Linked DNA regions of Xenopus tropicalis. The protein of the gene in region 2 interacts with the protein of the main gene of each other region in a biochemical or structural test. Links are inferred from orthologs where the notes say so. Each region holds a gene or a part of one and is shown on either strand. Other genes may lie near its edges.

Region 1 (5,827 bases), on a different chromosome or scaffold from region 2:
CTTCTCTTGCACAGAAAAGCAACCAAGGAATTGTCTCAAAACTATGCTTGAGCATCTATTGCACTAAGGAAATGTAAATCATGCTACCTCTCTAAGCTTTTAGAGGGAAAGGTAAACCACTAAAGTCTCCCTGTGACATTCAGAGCTGGGACACCACACAAGATAAATACTCGCACATGAACTTGAGACACGTTCGTTAAAGTATGAAATCAGTGTCTGTATGCATAGAAGGTGAACTTTATATAAAAACAAAAATTCACAACCTCATAACTGCCTGAGTGGCCAATTACACTAAACAGAGAAGAGTCTGTCACATACATGTTCCAGGCAGATTATTTTGCCATACACACAAAACAGCACACATTGTGATTTGCTGCTGAAGTTGCCTTGTCAGAGAAGCCAAAATCTAGGAAATGTAAAGTTCTGTCAAAACACAGTTCTGCAAGAACAGGAGTAGACTACTGTGATGCCATCTTTCATCTTCAAAGCACGCAGCTAACAGGTTTATTATTGTTTTAAAGGAAATATCACACAAGATTACAATGGTTAAAACACGGCTTGAAGATCTGAATTACTCAATAAGAAAAAAAAAAAAAAATGTCAGACACAACACATGCAGCAAAACATCCTCCTGCTAATTTAAGCTGCTGAATTGTCTAGTATAAACAGAGCAGTGCAACTAGTTGATTTGGAACGACTTGTACAGTGTTACAGTGGTAACAGGTATGCAACTTCACTTTTCTTCACACCACTGATTCTCTTTGCGTACCTAAAAGGAAAATAGCATAAAAGAGGTTCATTAATAAATACTCTTGTTGGAGTGGAGATATTGGCTGACACACTTGTAAAAGGAAATAAACTTAAGCGTATAAATATATACCTGAGCTTCTTCCTCCTCAGTAAAGTCGTTTTTGATGTTGAAGGTCTTTCGAATTTCTTCTGGCGTTTTTCCTTTAATCATGTTTGCAACTGTCTTGCAGGTGACATCAAGCAATCCTTTGATATCCAAATAGTTGGCAGCCTGAAGATAAAAAAAAAAAAAAAAAAAAGCAAAATCAAACCAGCCCCCAATTTTTTTTTGACCAGCAAGAACTCAAACCCACCCCTGATTTGCTCACACTCCCTTGTATTTGATATGGTACCAATAGACTGCAGAAAAGCTTATGAATTGGCTTAGAAGCAATATATGTTTATGACAATGACACAAAAGTTATGCAGCTCAATCAGTGCCACCAAGAATGTAGCATCCTTTAGGAGGAACTGGACAAACTGGGAGACTGGCCTGCTAAGTGGCATTCCAAAATATGCAAGGAGCTGGGGTGACTTGTGGAAAATAAACTTAGCTTTAGCAAGCAATGCCAGTCAGCGGAAGGAAGAGCCAGCAAGGTATACAGACTCAGAGGGGAAGTACATATTCCCACTTTAGAAAACACTGGCAAAGGCCCCATCTAGAATATGCAGTGCAGTATTGGTCTCAAATCCTTAAATGGATATTAATGAAATAGTAGCTCTTTTTGGACTCGCTCTAAATTAATGAAGGGTATTTTATGAGGAAAAGTTATCATACGTGCTTTAAGTGGCGTATAAGCACTACATATGAATATGCAAGTGTAATTTATGTATATAGGATTGAGATGAAAAAAAAAAAAATAGTTTCAGCCATTTTCAGTTTGGAAGTTAAATCTATGCTGACTGAGGAATATATGGACATGTGTATGTAAATTTTTAAAAATCTTTTATGAATTAGTGTATAAATTTCTAGTAACTGTTGTGTTATGTGTTAACAAGTAAAATGGCAGCCACGTTTTAATGTATGAATAAAATTATGTGTGTTAAAACTATATTGCTCAGAAGCAACATGCAGATGCCATGTGGATGCCTTTATTGAAGCCACTAAGGACAAAATTATGCACAACGTTTCATATATGTGGGCTCACCCTTACCTCTCAAGTGCAGGAGAACAAGCACACTTTGTTGGAACATGTTAATGGCAAGGTTTTTAAATATCAACTCTCCTACCTCTTTCGGACAAAAACACAAATAATTACTGGCTGTGTTGTGTGTGCACTACCTTCAGGCTGTGTTGTGTGTGCAATACCTTCAGACTGTGTGGTACTTTAAGTTGCAGGTTCCCTTTAAGGTTATTAATACTACTAAGTACAAGTACTAGAAATACACTTATGTAATTCTAATGGGTTCTATAAAAGCTGTTGGGTTTTTTGGTGAGCATGCCTCACCAAAATCAGTTCAAATAGTGTTCCCTGATCCACTTTTAAAAACTCTTGGTCCCACACAGGGATATCATCTGTTCTCTTCTCTTTGTTTTCATCGTCTTCGGGTGGAGGGGGATCATCTTTATGATGTGTACACCACTGAATGACCTGATGAAAATAAAAGTACATAGGTATTTATCTTTATGATTTATACAACTGACTGCATTTGTTGGCCAGGTCCTGAATCCAAGACAATGTGGTACTGCTAAACTTAAGATATGTTCAATTTCATCATTTTGTTGTTTATATGTTAATATAATTCAAGCTAGTAAAAAAAAAAAAAAAAAAAAAAGTAAATCTTGTAACAACCTACACTTGAAGAGCTAAACCAAAAATAGGAGCAATGTCCTCTACTGCCTGAATTAGAGAGCAAGTGTTTCTAGGTCTGAAACAGTATACATCATAACTCAAGAATATGAAACCCCAAACAGCAGGATGAAGTTCCTAATAACCAATAGTTCAGTTTTATTTTTTTACTTGCCAATATGCCTTAAAACCCTGGCATTTATAAGTAGTTCTTCTTCTGGCAGTGATAAGCAAATATAAATAATGTGTGTGTGTGTGTGTGTGTAGGGGGGGGGGAGGCTGTTGCAACTTTTTAATTAACACAATTCTGAATCTGGTACAATTTTTTTGTCCTAATTACATTGCATTATATCCCTGCAGCAAACCAACACCTCTAAAAAAAAAAAAAACAATCTCTAATCTGCATCCAGTATTCTAGTATGGGTATACGTAAAACCACTACCTAAATAGCACTTACTTTTTTAAGGATTGCAGCATTAACATTGGGAAGTGGCACAGGGTCATCATCACCTTCATCATCCATACCCAGATCTGTTTAAAAACATTTAATTGATAACTGTGTCTTGCCAAAAAAATGTAAAAAAAAACCCAAGATAATTTAGACAGAAAGGCAATGTTCTAAAACTATAGTCAAATAAGAGATTTCTCAAGAATTTACACAAAATAAATTTAAACACAACAGAAATATTACAACCAGTTCCTCTGAGGACAATTTTTTTTCAGCAAGACTGCTACTTATTTGTTATATTGGGATCACTGCTGTTATGAGTAGTTTGAAACGCTGTGTACCTGTTATGTAGTGAACAGCACCAAAACTTTTTTTTTTTTTAATAAAAAGCCCTTATTCCATCATTTCCAAATCCTGGATTGTACAAACAATGTTTTCTAAAGTACCCTGTGTACCTGTCTCTTATCAGTGTAAAAGGAGCTACTACCTAAAAAGATAATCCTCCACAAACCCAAGAAATTTCCCAATTTGAAAGTGGATGACAAAATGATTGGAATTACCCCTGACATTTCAATTGCAAATGTCTGTTCACCCAGGTGCACTCAAAGGTCATGCAAATGCTACATAGAAGAAAAATTCCCAGCAATATTGTTTCTGTAAAGGGATTGCTTTTGGAGAGAATCCACTCAATTGCCCAATGTGCCTTTACACCAACACTTTCAAAGCTAGGAGAATAAAAACAAATGAAGACCTGCACACCAGAGGACAAAATTATAAAGAATACATATTCAAAGAATTTTTTTTTAAAAAGTACCTTCCAACATAGTTTTAATTGTTACTGACTGCTTTGCAATTTCAACATCCACTTCAAAAATCTCTCCATCAGAACTCTGCAGCTTTATAGAAGGCATCTGAAAAACAAAAACACATTAATCAACACAAACAGTACTGCTTAGTGAAGTTACTGCAAGCAAAACAGAAAGAAAATCAATTGGTACTTTCAATGAGAGATGATCAGGAAGGCAGCTGTGAAACTCAAGATGCTGCACTGAAGCACATTTAAGCATGGTGAGCAGGAGAGACATGGGAACAAAATGGCAGCAAGCACAGCAAGTGCACTGCAGGCCATTGTAGGCAAGTAGAATCACAGAGTGGCTAACATGGCAACCACCCCCCCAGTGACTATACCTTTCCTTCTGCTTTAATGAAATGCAAACATCATGTTTCATGCCCTGGTTGTCAGTAAGGCAGGGCCAATAAAAATAATCATCTATACAACAGCCCTGGTGCCTGGTTGCTTCAGTCTCTGCCCAAGACCCACACCAACTGTGCAATATACAGTGGTCTGGCACGGCCTAATGAGCAAAGGGAAGAAGCTGCAGCTAGTAGGAATAAGAAGGGGCCTGCCAACTGTTGCCAGCACCCTGCCCTCCACTACCAGGAAGAGAATAAGGAGCTAAAAGCTTTGGGTCTCATCCGGAATGTGCAATTACCGGTACTCTGCAATTTTCAGAGAGCTGTGCAGGAATTGGGAAAATGCACTAAATTCTAACAGCTGTCAACCTGGCACTGCTCCTTTAACAGCCGACTGCAAATGGCTGGACAGCTGGAGATGGATGAACCCTTGTTAACACTGGCCACCATTAGTGTGCACGCAGTACACAAAGGGAAAGTGTCTCTGGCATATATGATGTGGGAAAGACTTACTGAGCAGGTATAACTATGGAAGCAGAACAAAGTAATTACCAACAAAGGGTGTCATTTTACTGCTGCAGTATGACTTTGCCAATAGCAGCCAGGATAATGGCAATTGCCAAGCTCCAAATCTGCATTAGAGGCCATTTGCCCATCCTGCCCAGAAAAAGAATCTGTACATCAATAGTTGACATACAGCCAATTACAGAGAGGACATTTGCTATCCCTGAGCCATGCTTTTCACTCAGCCTCATTTTAAACAAAGGCTTTATGAATTAAAATAACAGAAGTTTGGCCTAGACAGCAACATACAGAGCAGAGTGACTAACAGCACAAGGCAATAGGAATTACCATATTCTGTTAAAAAGAGGACTGGTTATTAAATATCTTAGAGGGGACAGAGTGTACTTGAAATCTTAATTGTGTAGTTAAGCACATTTTTAATCTTACAGGTATGGGATCTAGATTAAGGAGACTCATTATCAAGAAAGCTTTTGGAAATGCCATTTTATTATTGTTTGACCAATTTCCTTTTGCTCTATAATAGTGGATATTTCAAAACGGTGACTGATCCCCTACAAGTTCCATGTGAGAGTCCACTGTGCCCAGGTAAACAAATATACTGTTTAATTTATTATAACAAATATAATGGTTTATAAGGAGTGGGTCCAGCCTACATGGACTTGTCAGACGAGAATGGCATCAAAGTGACAATGCAGTCTTTGCCATGTAGGATTTTCAACCCTGCCGAATATATATCTAATTTTGTTTGGGTATGGATGGGCTGGGTCAGCAGGTGTTAAGACAATAGTTGACTGAAAAGTTTTTCATATACTTTTTCAGGCACTCTACATATTGTAGCCTTCACCATTCCCAGCTACAGTCTGTTGATCTCAATGGTGGCCAATAAAAAGTGCAACAATTTTTTTGCACTAAAAGGAAGTAAACTGCAGGTAAAAATCAGTCCCTGCGTACTAATGTATAATGAAGCAGTAAAATACTTAATAAATAATATAAAAGTCAGTACGGGAATTAAATTTGGCATAGTTGGCCAGCTTTCAGTATATTGCTAAAAGGGGAGGTCATTTCTTAGTAGCTTAATGCA
Region 2 (5,382 bases):
ATCATGATAACAGTTCATGTCACTATCAGCAACTCATCAAATCATTTTAAATGGGGATGTTTACCTTTATATCACTAAAATAAACATTTTGCAATCTAATAAATATTGACAATTTGCTTTTATGGACAAATCGCAGGTGGGATGGCATACGCGGCGTGGCGATTTGCCGAAGTCGTGGAAGTTGCCTTGATAGGAAACTTCCGCGACTTTGGCAAATCACTGTGCCGGTGTATGCCATCCCACCGGCGATTTACGTTCTCGCCGGTAGGATGGCATTTCGGGGAGATTAGTCGCCGTCTGTCAGCCCTAAAGGTGAACATCCCCTTTAATTACCTTATTATATCAAACCCATTCACTATCTATCATATTAATCTTCATTGGATTATCATGAAAGGTGCATGTGTAGACTTAGGTGGTACTGGTTAAAAGATACATATAAAAAACTCATACATCCACTATTAGTCAGTAAAGGGGTTGGGGTATCCTAATGAGAACAGTACATGTTCCCTTGCCAGGGCTTAATTTATACAAATTTTACAAAAAAAAAAAAAAGCCTGATATAATAAGATCCCTGTTAGAAATACATCCAAACACACACTTACAGCTAAAAGGTCTCTACCATCATCATCCAAAGGTGGCACCACTTTGCTAAAGTCCTGTCGGACCCACTTAGGAAAGGTTGACTTGTAATCTGGCATAGTTGTCACTCCTGGCCAGGACACTTCATCAGGGGTCCCCAGTGTTCGAAAGATGCGAAAGAGCTGATCAATTTCAGAATCTCCAGGAAAAAGTGCTCTCCTAGTGATCTAGCATAAGGGATAAACAAATGCATTTAAGTTCAGACTAGATTAAAAAAGGAGTGTTATAGTTAGTTTAGTACTACTTTAAATGTAGTTGAAAGATTTATGTTGAAGAAACAAAATTAAAGTAGCTATAGATATAGCTGCACTTTTTAAAATCTAATTTAACTACATTTAAAGTAGTACTAAAGAATGAAAATGCTGCACATTATGTTTAGGGGTTCTGTACGAACCAAAGGCCAACACAGCCCTTTAACAAGGAACATCTGGCTCTATGAAACCAGAAACAAGGATAATTTAGTAATTAATTCTGATTTCTTTTACATTGCAGTTCAGAAATAATTTGAGACGACCCCCTAAGTTCTCAACAGCTAGTCAGACACGTCTGAGAATGTGCATGTCACTGACACTCCTAACAGAATACAAGATGGTGAGCTCTTATGAGAGCTTCAAAGATCTGGATTAATACTGTTATAGGGGTTGCTGAACCTTCAGGCTGGGGTAGTAAGTTCAGTATATAAAATACAGCTTTCCAACCATATCTTTAGGGTTTAGTACTCCTTTAAACAGGACAACACTATGGACCTTGCCGTTAATCCAAAGGTCCACTGCATATTTTTCCCATTTAAGAGTTAAAATGACCAGAAAAAAACAGCTATATTTTGAAATATACACAGAGAGTGGCAATTTCCATTACAAAATGTATTTGACTTGTAGCAAAAATGTTATAGGTTAATAGCTGATCTACAACACAGAGGTGGAGCATAACCTTCGGCTATTTAGATGCCTGTTGCCCAGTTGCAAGGTAAAACCCTTAGACCACAACCACCAAGTGGTCATTGCTAAATCAGGCAGTGACCGAGGTTCACGCCAGTGAATTTATAATGACACCACAGATTACAGCCACAGTCCATCATTATCCCAGTTATCCCTTCAAGATACAAATTCCTTTATCAGCAGTTCTAACCACACATAAAGCTCCCTAGTATGACCCTCTTACATCCAAGATTTTAGAGGAAGGAAGTACTGGGTCAAAGCTTTTATGATTTCAACCACACTGAAGTCACGCTGTGTGGAATACATTACAGCCATTATTCTCATCTTGGCGACAAAATTCTGCTATGTTAGGCCTGCATTCTTGCTAAACAATTTCCGATTTTTTTCCTCCAGGCAGAGACACAATCAGCAGACACCAAAAAGGGCAGCTAAATGATACATTATCACAGTTAGGATAATAAATATTAGACAAAATATTCTCCAAGAATAATACAAAAGCAGAAATGTGTAAACCATATGTATCATACAAACATTAAAACTGCATTGCAAAAATGTTTCTTTTGTTTGGAAAACTATCAACCACACAGCTATTTATAGCTACTGAGAAGAAATGCAACAATATGTATAAACCTGTTTATACCATTTCTGCAAATATACATCCCAGGCTCCAGATATCTACAGCCGTGGAGTAGAACTTGCAGCCAAGAAGAATTTCTGGTGCTCTGTACCACAGGGTGACAACCTAAAGAGAGTAAGAATAATGGATCATTGAAACTGCAGCTGCATGCATAATAATTATACAGACATTTTCTTTTGCGTTTATAAATCATATCCAACATATAACGGGAACCTGAGATAACTGCGGTGTGAAATGTTTAGTCACACCTTAAACAAATAGAGCTCTTACTTTCAAATAAGTGAATAAAACGTTCTACTATGGGAGGCCAGATGCTTTAGACACTAACCTCATGAGTATAGGTTCTCACAGGCACACCAAATGCCCGAGCTAGTCCAAAGTCGGCAAGTTTGATGGCACCCTCAGAATTAATAAGCAGGTTCTGTGGTTTTAAGTCACGATGTAAGACACGATGTGAGTGGCAGAAAGCCAAACCTTGGAGCAACTGGAACAGATAGCTCTGTTGATAGAGGAATAAAAAAAAAAAATATTCATAGAGAGTATTGCTCATCATATGCAACATATGTAGAACAGTATAGGGCTATTAAGATTTTGAACTAGCCAATAATCATGTCAACTTCAAAATTTGAATTTTACCTTAAAATATTTTGCTCATGTAAATTTAGAAATAAAAATTGATTTCAACATGTATATGTCATACTCCAAACTGAAATTGAAGATACTATATTTCCATCAAGACTCCAAAGGGCACAAATACAAAACAAAAAAAGGAAGCAATTACAAATTAAGAGCTGTGCAGACAGGATTTGTTCATCGTGAAGTCCTTAAGCTGCAATCTGATCATTATTAATTGCAAATCACAGAATCTATGAGAAACAATGAAGTCTAAGCATATATACCTACATAATTGGCAGGTCTGCTGAAAGGATATGAGATATAGCTTATTAGGGATAAGGTAGCCTCTATTTAAATAAAAATGGACATTAGAAGCCACCTCAGTTTTGTGACTTCAGGTTTCTTTAGTACAGTTAAATCTTCAGTGAGTTCAATATTCTTATATTTGAGTAAAGAGCACATTGTTATTGAAATATTTAGCTACCAATTGCTTTCACAGGCAAAAAATCCTTTAACTAAATCTTAACAATGTATCCCACTCCTGGTGGAGGCAAAACCACTTTGCCTATGCAATCAAGCTGAGAGAAATGAGCGCCACACATGGGGAAATAGCCAGAAACTGCAAACTTGATTCAAATGTTCCCTTATTTGAGATTTCAGACTACCAAGCAATCGATAGACCTGTATTTTTTTTCTTACAAGTCAATAAACGCTGCAATTCATAAAATCTGTCAGCATTAGTAACTAAACTCTTAAATGCTGGCCATACTTTTAAACATGGATCTCTGCCACCCAAGAGCAGATCCAAATATCAGATCATTCTGTGGACCTAAAGCAGTGGTCCCCAACCAGTGGCTCAGGGCAACATGTTGCTCCCCAACCCCTTGGATGTTGCACTCAGTGCCCCCAAACCAGGTAGTTATTTTTGAATTCCTGACTTGGGGGCAAGCTTTGGTTGAATAAAAACAAGATTTCCTACCAAATAAAGCCTCCTGTAAGCTGATAGTGTGCATAGAGGCTCCCTAATAGCCAATTTTAGCACCTCCATAAACTTTTATGGTGCTTGTGTTGCTCTCCAAGTCTTTTTACATTTGACTGTGGCTCATGAGTGAGAAAGGTTGGGGAACCCTGACCTAAAGGATCCAGCAGTGCCCTATTCAGCAGCTTTTACTGCAGCAAGTATGGCCAGCTTTATTTAAATCACAAACTTAAAAATACAATTATCAAAGACATACAAAGAACATCTAATCTCTTTGCTACCACCATGCACATCCAAGTAGCTGTGTCTTACAATCTGTGGATTGTACAATATTGACTATATTGTTATTGCTCACATTTAAATTAAATTTAAGTATATTATAGAATGCACTGCGCTTAGAAACTTTTTAATTGGTTTTCATTTTTATAGTTTTTGAATTGTATTCTAGTTTTTTTCTAGCTGTCAGATGGGGGTCACTGAGTCTATCAGCCAAAAAACTATTGCTCTGTGAGGCTACAATTGTTAATGTTTATTATCTTTCTTGTCATACACTTTCCTATTCATATTCCAATTTGGTTGCTATGTAAACTGGACCATAGCAACCAACTAACTGCTGACATTCCACAGTGAAGAACTTCTGGAAAAAAATGCTAAATAATTTAAAAACCACTAAAAATAAAAATGAAAGTAGTCTTAGAATATGAATGCCAACATCATACTAAAAAGATAAATACAAGGTGAACTACCCCTTTACTTAAAAAAAAAAAAAAAAAAAAAAAAATGCCTGCTCTAGATAGTAACCAGCGTACCTCCTTTAACAGATTTGTTTCTGGTACACTATAAATGGTAAATACCCTCAGCTCTTGCCAGAAGCACTTTTATTGCTCTTAAAATGTGTCCAACACTCATAGTAATTTAGTGTATCTACAGACATATAGGTTGTTAAAGAAGTGGAATCACACAAATTCAGGCATATTTTATGTTAACCTGTAAATTATACACTTTTTTTTGTTATTTTTTAATGGAAACTGATACAGTTGTACCAGCATACACACTGGTTTGTACCAGAAGAAGAGGTCTTATTATGAGAAGTGGTGAAAAGTGGAAAGGAGTGGCTTGGCTGACCTGCTGATGATTTATTTGCTAATGCTTTAATGATACCTTTACATTTCCTGGTGTTATTGGTCCTTGAGTTTTTATTACTACTATCCTTTAATTATATAGGAGCAACATATTACGCATCATTCACATCAGTCTAAGCAAATCTAAATCTCAGTCAGTTAATTTGGGTATGTGGTATGTATAGGAGGTAACCCACACATGCAAGAACACCTTGCAGATAGTGCTCAGGCTGGAATCAAAAAGTTTATTAAACCCTTTATAATTTAAATGTTTTGAAGAGTTGAAAGTATAATTATTTACCCCATTGTTTTTCTTAAAGATGTTAGCTAGCCTCAGCTAGCAGTTTTAGCCTTCTACAAGACTACACTGTCAAGGAACGTGGCTATTGACAACCTGCTTCTCTTCATAATTACAGTATATTCTAGTTATGCAATCCTTTCTTATGTGATGTG
Region 3 (5,871 bases), on a different chromosome or scaffold from region 2:
AGATTTACCTCAGGCAACAAATCTCACTGTGTGCCAATCCCTTAGGGCTCTGGCACACGGGGAGATTAGTCGCCCGTGACAAATCTCCCGTGTCTCAGGCGACTATTCTCCCCGAGTTGCAATCACCTGCCACCCCATCGGCAAAAGTGTAAGTCGCCAGTGAGATGGCACACGCGGCGGCGCGATTTCAGCGAGATCGCGCAAGTTGCCTTGAGAGGAAACTTGCGATCTCACTGAAATCGCGCCGCCGCTTATGCCATCCCACCAGCGATTTACATTTTCGCCGGTGGGATGGCAATCCGGGGAGATTAGTCGCCTGAGACACGGGAGATTTGTCACGGGCGACTAATCTCCCCGTGTGCCAGAGCCCTTAAAGTACACTCTTTGAGCAGTTCATCAGAGGGCTTCTCAGTGGACTGGTAAATATATCAGTCCATCTGCTTGTCAGAACCAGAACTGACAGGAAGTACTAAAGTGAAACTGGATTAAGTGTATTTATTGCTGAAAATAACAAAACGGATTTCTTTATTAAAAGAAAAGTATTCAGATCAAGACCTAATTAAGCTCATTATGAAATAGCGCTTAAAGCATCCCTTTGTCTATGGAGACACTTATACTAGATTATTAAAACACTTATATAGTGCCAATATATTTTAATGCTCTTAGAAATTACACACCATTCACATCAGTCCCTGCACTAGTACTGCTTAGTCTGTCCCTATCACAATAGTGTTTATTATATACATATGACCAATTAATCCACCTGTATGTTTCTATAAGACAGGAAAGATACCCATGTGGACACAGGAAGAACATACAAAAATCCATGCCACTGTGTGTTTATCCCATATCACCATTTTGCCTAAAGAAGCACCAACATGCAGCATTTCAAAACTGTGCCCCGCTCTACATCTCTGAACTCCTCAAACTGCTTGTTACGCTCTATTGATCAATGCAACACCTCATTCATTATCTCCTCACAAATGAGACTTTACTAGGGCTGCACCCTCTTCTCTGGAATTTACTCCCACATGATGTCCAACTGTCTCCCAGTCTTCCTGCCTTTAAAAGAACTCTCAAGCTTTTCTAAAGAAATGTTCTATTAAATTCCATGCTCTATGCCACATATTTTACCTTAGATTGTAAGCTCTTTCAGACAGAGCCCTCTACCTCTTGCATGGGCTAACTGCTTTATATGTACATCTTTCTACCTATTGAAGAACTCACTTTTACAATGCATTGCCCTTTGTACCTCCATGCATCGTCAAATAGTGATTAAAGTCCCCTCTACTGTAAAAAAAAAAAAAAAAAAATACATGTAGGGACCTATAGGGTTAACATGCCCCTATGGCTTTAAACCCTGCAGCTTCCTTGGCTTGTGCAGTTACTGGGCAAAGACCCATGTATCAGTTTAGAGTTTTGCATATGTGCCTTATTGGTTACCAGGGAGACCACTCCCTTGGCACACTGATATAGTGCTTAGCAGGGGGGTGTGGCTTTCTCTTTGGCTCCATCTGCTGACCCAGGTGGAAGTTCCACTGAGCCTGGGATCAACAGGGACCCAGTAAAGTGATTACCGTAGAGTCTGCATCGACTCTAGAGAAGTCAGTGACAGGGACCCTGTGAATGAGGACCAGTTAGATAGCATGTTGTGTTGAGCACTTTCTAGGAAAGCGAGATAGTGAGGGAAGGAAGCAAGGGCAGTTTGGCTCCACCAAATAAAGTAGTTTTGGAAGTACACTTCCAGACAGGCACTGTTGCCTTAGCGTAGGGCCACGGTTAAGGGCTCTCCCAGTGTGCCAGAGCCCTTAGACATAGAAGGCAGGCAGTATCAGAACCCTTATCCAGAGTTGCTGTGGGAGCCTGAGGGCTAGAGGTGTTCAACCTGAGGAGTGTGGTATCCAATCTGACTGTTCCAAAGGGTGGATAAACTGAACCAGTGGCACGGACCCTGGCCAGACTCAAGAGGAGTTGTGAGGAATGGATGTGCACCCTCTGTGCTGTCTGCAGAGAAATGCTATGCTAAACTGCTGTGAGTATATTACACTTACCCTGCATATTGATATATAACCATGCATATCTCTAACAATAAACTGATTCTATTGTTCAACTGCAAGAACCTTCTGGCTCTCATTTGTTATTCTGAACTGCACACAGCTACAGTGGGTTGTAGTTGCACTACACCATAGCTCGGTTTGGTCCCTTCTACATAGTTGGCTGGGTTACAGCCAAAAAAAGTGTTACATGTGTTATAAATCAGACATTCCATAGCCCAACTCCAAGGTGACTTCGAATATCCTCATTTTACAACAGTGGGTACTTTATTACAATACACAAGTTTATGCAAGTCATGTGACAAATTACATGAACAGGCACCATTTATAAAGATATCTTTTATGGGATATTTATGGCACTTGTGTGTATTTTTTTTTTATTTATTTTGAAACACATGTACGGGATCCCTTATCCGGAAACCTGTTATCCAGAAAGCTCCAAATTACAGAAAGCCTGTCTCCAATAGACTCCATTTTAATCAAAGTTCAGAATTTTAAAACAGATTTCCTTTCTCTCTGTAATAAAACAGTACCTTGTAATTGTTCCCAAAATATAATTAATCCTTATTGAATTCAAAACAATCCTATTGGGTTTAATTAATGTTTTATTGATTTTTTTAGTGGATTTAAGGTACGGAGATCTAAATTACAGAAAGACCCCTTATCCAGAATACCCTTGGTCCTGAGCATTCTGGATAACAGGAGATAGATATAGGTAGATATATTCTCTATAGATAGATACAGAGATAGGTTCTCTATAGAGAACCTGAGATATATCTCTGTATCTATCTATCTATCTATCTATCGAGAATATATCTACCTATATCTATCTATCTCCTGTTATCCAGAATGCTCAGGACCAAGGGTATTCTGGATAAGGGGTCTTTCTGTAATTTAGATCTCCATACGTTAAATACACTAAAAAAATCAACAAAACATTAATTAAACCCAATAGGATTGTTTTGCATTCAATAAGGATTAATTATATCTTGGGATCAATTACAAGGTACTATTTTATTACAGAGAAAAAGGAAATTAGTTTTAAAATTCTTAACTATTTGATTAGATAGATAGATATATCTATCTAGACTATTTTATATATATCTATATATATTTAACTCTTCCTTCCTGATGATAAGTGCAGAGGTAAGAATGGCAGCTCCAGCTGATAGGCACATGGCTATTTACACGTGGAGATATTGAAACAATGGCACATGTTACAGGGAGTTGTAGCTAAATAGGAGCTGTACAATGTATGTTAGATATTGATGGGTGCAGGGAGTTGTAGCTAACAGAACCTGCAGGTGGTATTATAGATATAGGTGGTATTATAGATGATAAACTGGAGCAATATTGGCTTCAAAGTTTAGGATAACTCTGGGTAGGGAGGTAATATGAAGGAGAGATGGAGGCGGAAGCAGTTAAAGAGCATTCATTTGGTGCAGCTTGTACCTGGGGGAGGGAGAAGGAATCTATATTCCACATAATGTGGTAGTGGTAGCAGGAGGGGAGCCATAGAAAGGCAAAGGGCAGCAGCAATGAATCCATGCTTTCGGCTCCTGCGCCCAGGAGCAGTCTAACCGTGAGGAAGGAGCGGGGACATTCCAACAAAAGCCCGGGACAGCGGGCTGAGTGACGCAAAACTGGGCTGTCCCGTTAAAAGCAGGACACCGGGGAGCCATGAACAAGTCAGCGGAACGTGTGACGTCTATATAATATTTCCCAAAAAAAACCCGTGGCCGAGTTTCAAAACCCCTGGTACTGTATACATACCAAAGAGAAAATTCTGAGGGCGCAGGGGAGCAATGCTATCCATATCCATGGAGTCTTCCATTTTGTTCCAATTCAATTCAGATGTACCCCCTCTACTCTACAGCGGCACGGACGGATTCTGAGAACTAATGGCGCGCAACGTGTCTCTATATGTACGGGCCTTTTTCTCGCGAGATTTCACGCCATAGAAAGGCGGGGCTATTTTCCCTCAAACAAGTAACGCAGTTTACGATTGGCTAAACACGTTCTGCTGTGAGGTATGTGATTGCGCAAAACGAGCTGTGGGTTTATAGGAATTTAACGTGACCCACCATGTGCTTGTTTGTAAGATAATGGCAAGGAGTTCACGTTGTGTAGGCCTGTGTCCATAGCAGAGATTGTTAAAGGGGATCTCTATCCCTGAACTCTTTTTGTGTATAATTAATGTAATAATTAATTTTAGTAACGTTCTCATATGCGGGCTTTAGACATGTTTACTGGTTTTAAACTGCTTTTGATATAATATGGAAAGTGAGATACTAGTCTGAGGCAGTGCCTTTTCTGCTATGGGTGTGGCTTTGATTATAGGCCACTTTTACTTTTTACACTAATTTCAGCCTAGCAAAATAAATGTGGAATGGTTTTAAAAAGAAAAAAATGGATCTGAAAGGTGTATTTAATGCCAATCAAATTATTTAATGTCAATTAAAAATGTTCATATACATAGGGACCTTAAGGTCCCCATACATGGGCCGATAGAAGCTGCCGATATCGGTCCCTTGGACCGACTCGTCAGCTTATCGGCCCGTGTAGGGGCAGAAACGAGCGGACTGGCCGACCAATATCTGGCCTGAAATTGGCCAGATATCGGTCGGCCAGGTTAGAAAATCCCGTCGGTTCGGGGACCGCATCGGCTCGTTGATGCGGTCCCCGAACCGTATGCCCCATTGCCGCGTGCAGAATTCGATCATTTGGCCCTCACCTACATGCCTCCCCGATATCGCCACCCGTAGGTGGGGATATCGGGTGAAGATCCGCTCGCTTGACGACATCGCCAAGCGAGCGGATCTTCCTGTGTATGGCCACCTTTAGCCTTTTTATTTCCATTCAGGAAACATGTTAGCCCTTTCATTGGGGTTTAAGAAAGATCTGTTAGCCCTTTTATTGGGAGCCACATAGGGGTTCAGGAAACCTCTGTATTTTCAGATGATCTCTCCTAAACAAGCTGCATTTATATGAGAGATTGTACCCCTATTTAAAGTGCGATACAGCACACACATTAATATACTTTAGAATATAAAATCTTCCATCTCCTTTACCAGTTTAGTTGCAGTCTCTGCACTCTCTCCAGCTCATTAATATCCTTCTTAAGGACTGGAGCCCAAAACTGCACTGCATACTCAAGGTGAGGCCTTACCAGGGACCTATAAAGAGGCAAAATTATGTTCTCATCCCTTGAGTCAATGCCCTTTTTTATACAAGACAGCACTTTATTTGCTTTAGTAGCCACAGAATGACATTGCCAGGAATTACACCGCTTGCTATCCAGTAATGTATCAGCCCTGTCTGGGCCCAGGCACAGGATGTGCACACAGGCTTAGTTTTCCAGATTAGTCAAATCGCTCTGCAAAGCGGCAGCATCCTGCATGGAATTTATAGCTTTGCACAATTTAGTGTCGTCAGCAAAGATAGAGACAGTACTGTCTATGCCCACCTCCAGGTCATTAATAAACAAGTTAAAAAGCAAAGGGCTAAGGACTGACCCCTGCGGTACTCCACTGACACTGGTCTAATTAGAGACTGCTCCATTTACCACCGCTCTTTGTAATCTATCCTTCAGCCAGTTCTCTATCCAAATGCAAATTTTATGTTCTAGGTCAATATTCCTTAATTTAAGGAGTATCCTTCTGTGTAGTACTGTATAAAATGCTTTAGCAAAGTCTAAGTAAATCTACTGCCATCCGAGAGTCTAGGTTCCTCATAGAAGAAAGTTAAATTAGTCTGCCAAGATCTATTGCTCATAAAGCCATAGTGGCACAAATTACAGTATTGTGGAATCTTTACT

Evidence for each region.
Region 1: the proteins of cdk2 (region 2) and skp1 are reported together in a solved structure, tested with the Homo sapiens proteins (2 studies listed by BioGRID, with this or other methods). The link is inferred for Xenopus tropicalis from reciprocal best matches to the Homo sapiens genes CDK2 and SKP1.
Region 3: of the proteins of cdk2 (region 2) and npm1, one has a biochemical effect on the other in vitro, tested with the Homo sapiens proteins (2 studies listed by BioGRID). The link is inferred for Xenopus tropicalis from reciprocal best matches to the Homo sapiens genes CDK2 and NPM1.

The regions. Positions count from the first base shown.
Region 1 is NC_030679.2:26,567,000-26,572,826, reverse strand, and holds skp1 (S-phase kinase-associated protein 1), read right to left. Parts: upstream 3,941-5,827; 5' UTR 3,939-3,940; coding exon 3,842-3,938; intron 3,111-3,841; coding exon 3,037-3,110; intron 2,382-3,036; coding exon 2,238-2,381; intron 1,022-2,237; coding exon 881-1,021; intron 770-880; coding exon 734-769; 3' UTR 475-733; downstream 1-474. UniProt on the Homo sapiens protein: Essential component of the SCF (SKP1-CUL1-F-box protein) ubiquitin ligase complex, which mediates the ubiquitination of proteins involved in cell cycle progression, signal transduction and transcription.
Region 2 is NC_030678.2:137,877,983-137,883,364, forward strand, and holds part of cdk2 (cyclin-dependent kinase 2), read right to left. Parts: intron 2,714-5,382; coding exon 2,543-2,713; intron 2,320-2,542; coding exon 2,218-2,319; intron 807-2,217; coding exon 603-806; intron 1-602. UniProt on the Homo sapiens protein: Serine/threonine-protein kinase involved in the control of the cell cycle; essential for meiosis, but dispensable for mitosis. Phosphorylates CABLES1, CTNNB1, CDK2AP2, ERCC6, NBN, USP37, p53/TP53, NPM1, CDK7, RB1, BRCA2, MYC, NPAT, EZH2.
Region 3 is NC_030679.2:20,061,643-20,067,513, reverse strand, and holds the start of npm1 (nucleophosmin), read right to left. Parts: upstream 3,941-5,871; 5' UTR 3,889-3,940; coding exon 3,828-3,888; intron 1-3,827. UniProt on the Homo sapiens protein: Involved in diverse cellular processes such as ribosome biogenesis, centrosome duplication, protein chaperoning, histone assembly, cell proliferation, and regulation of tumor suppressors p53/TP53 and ARF.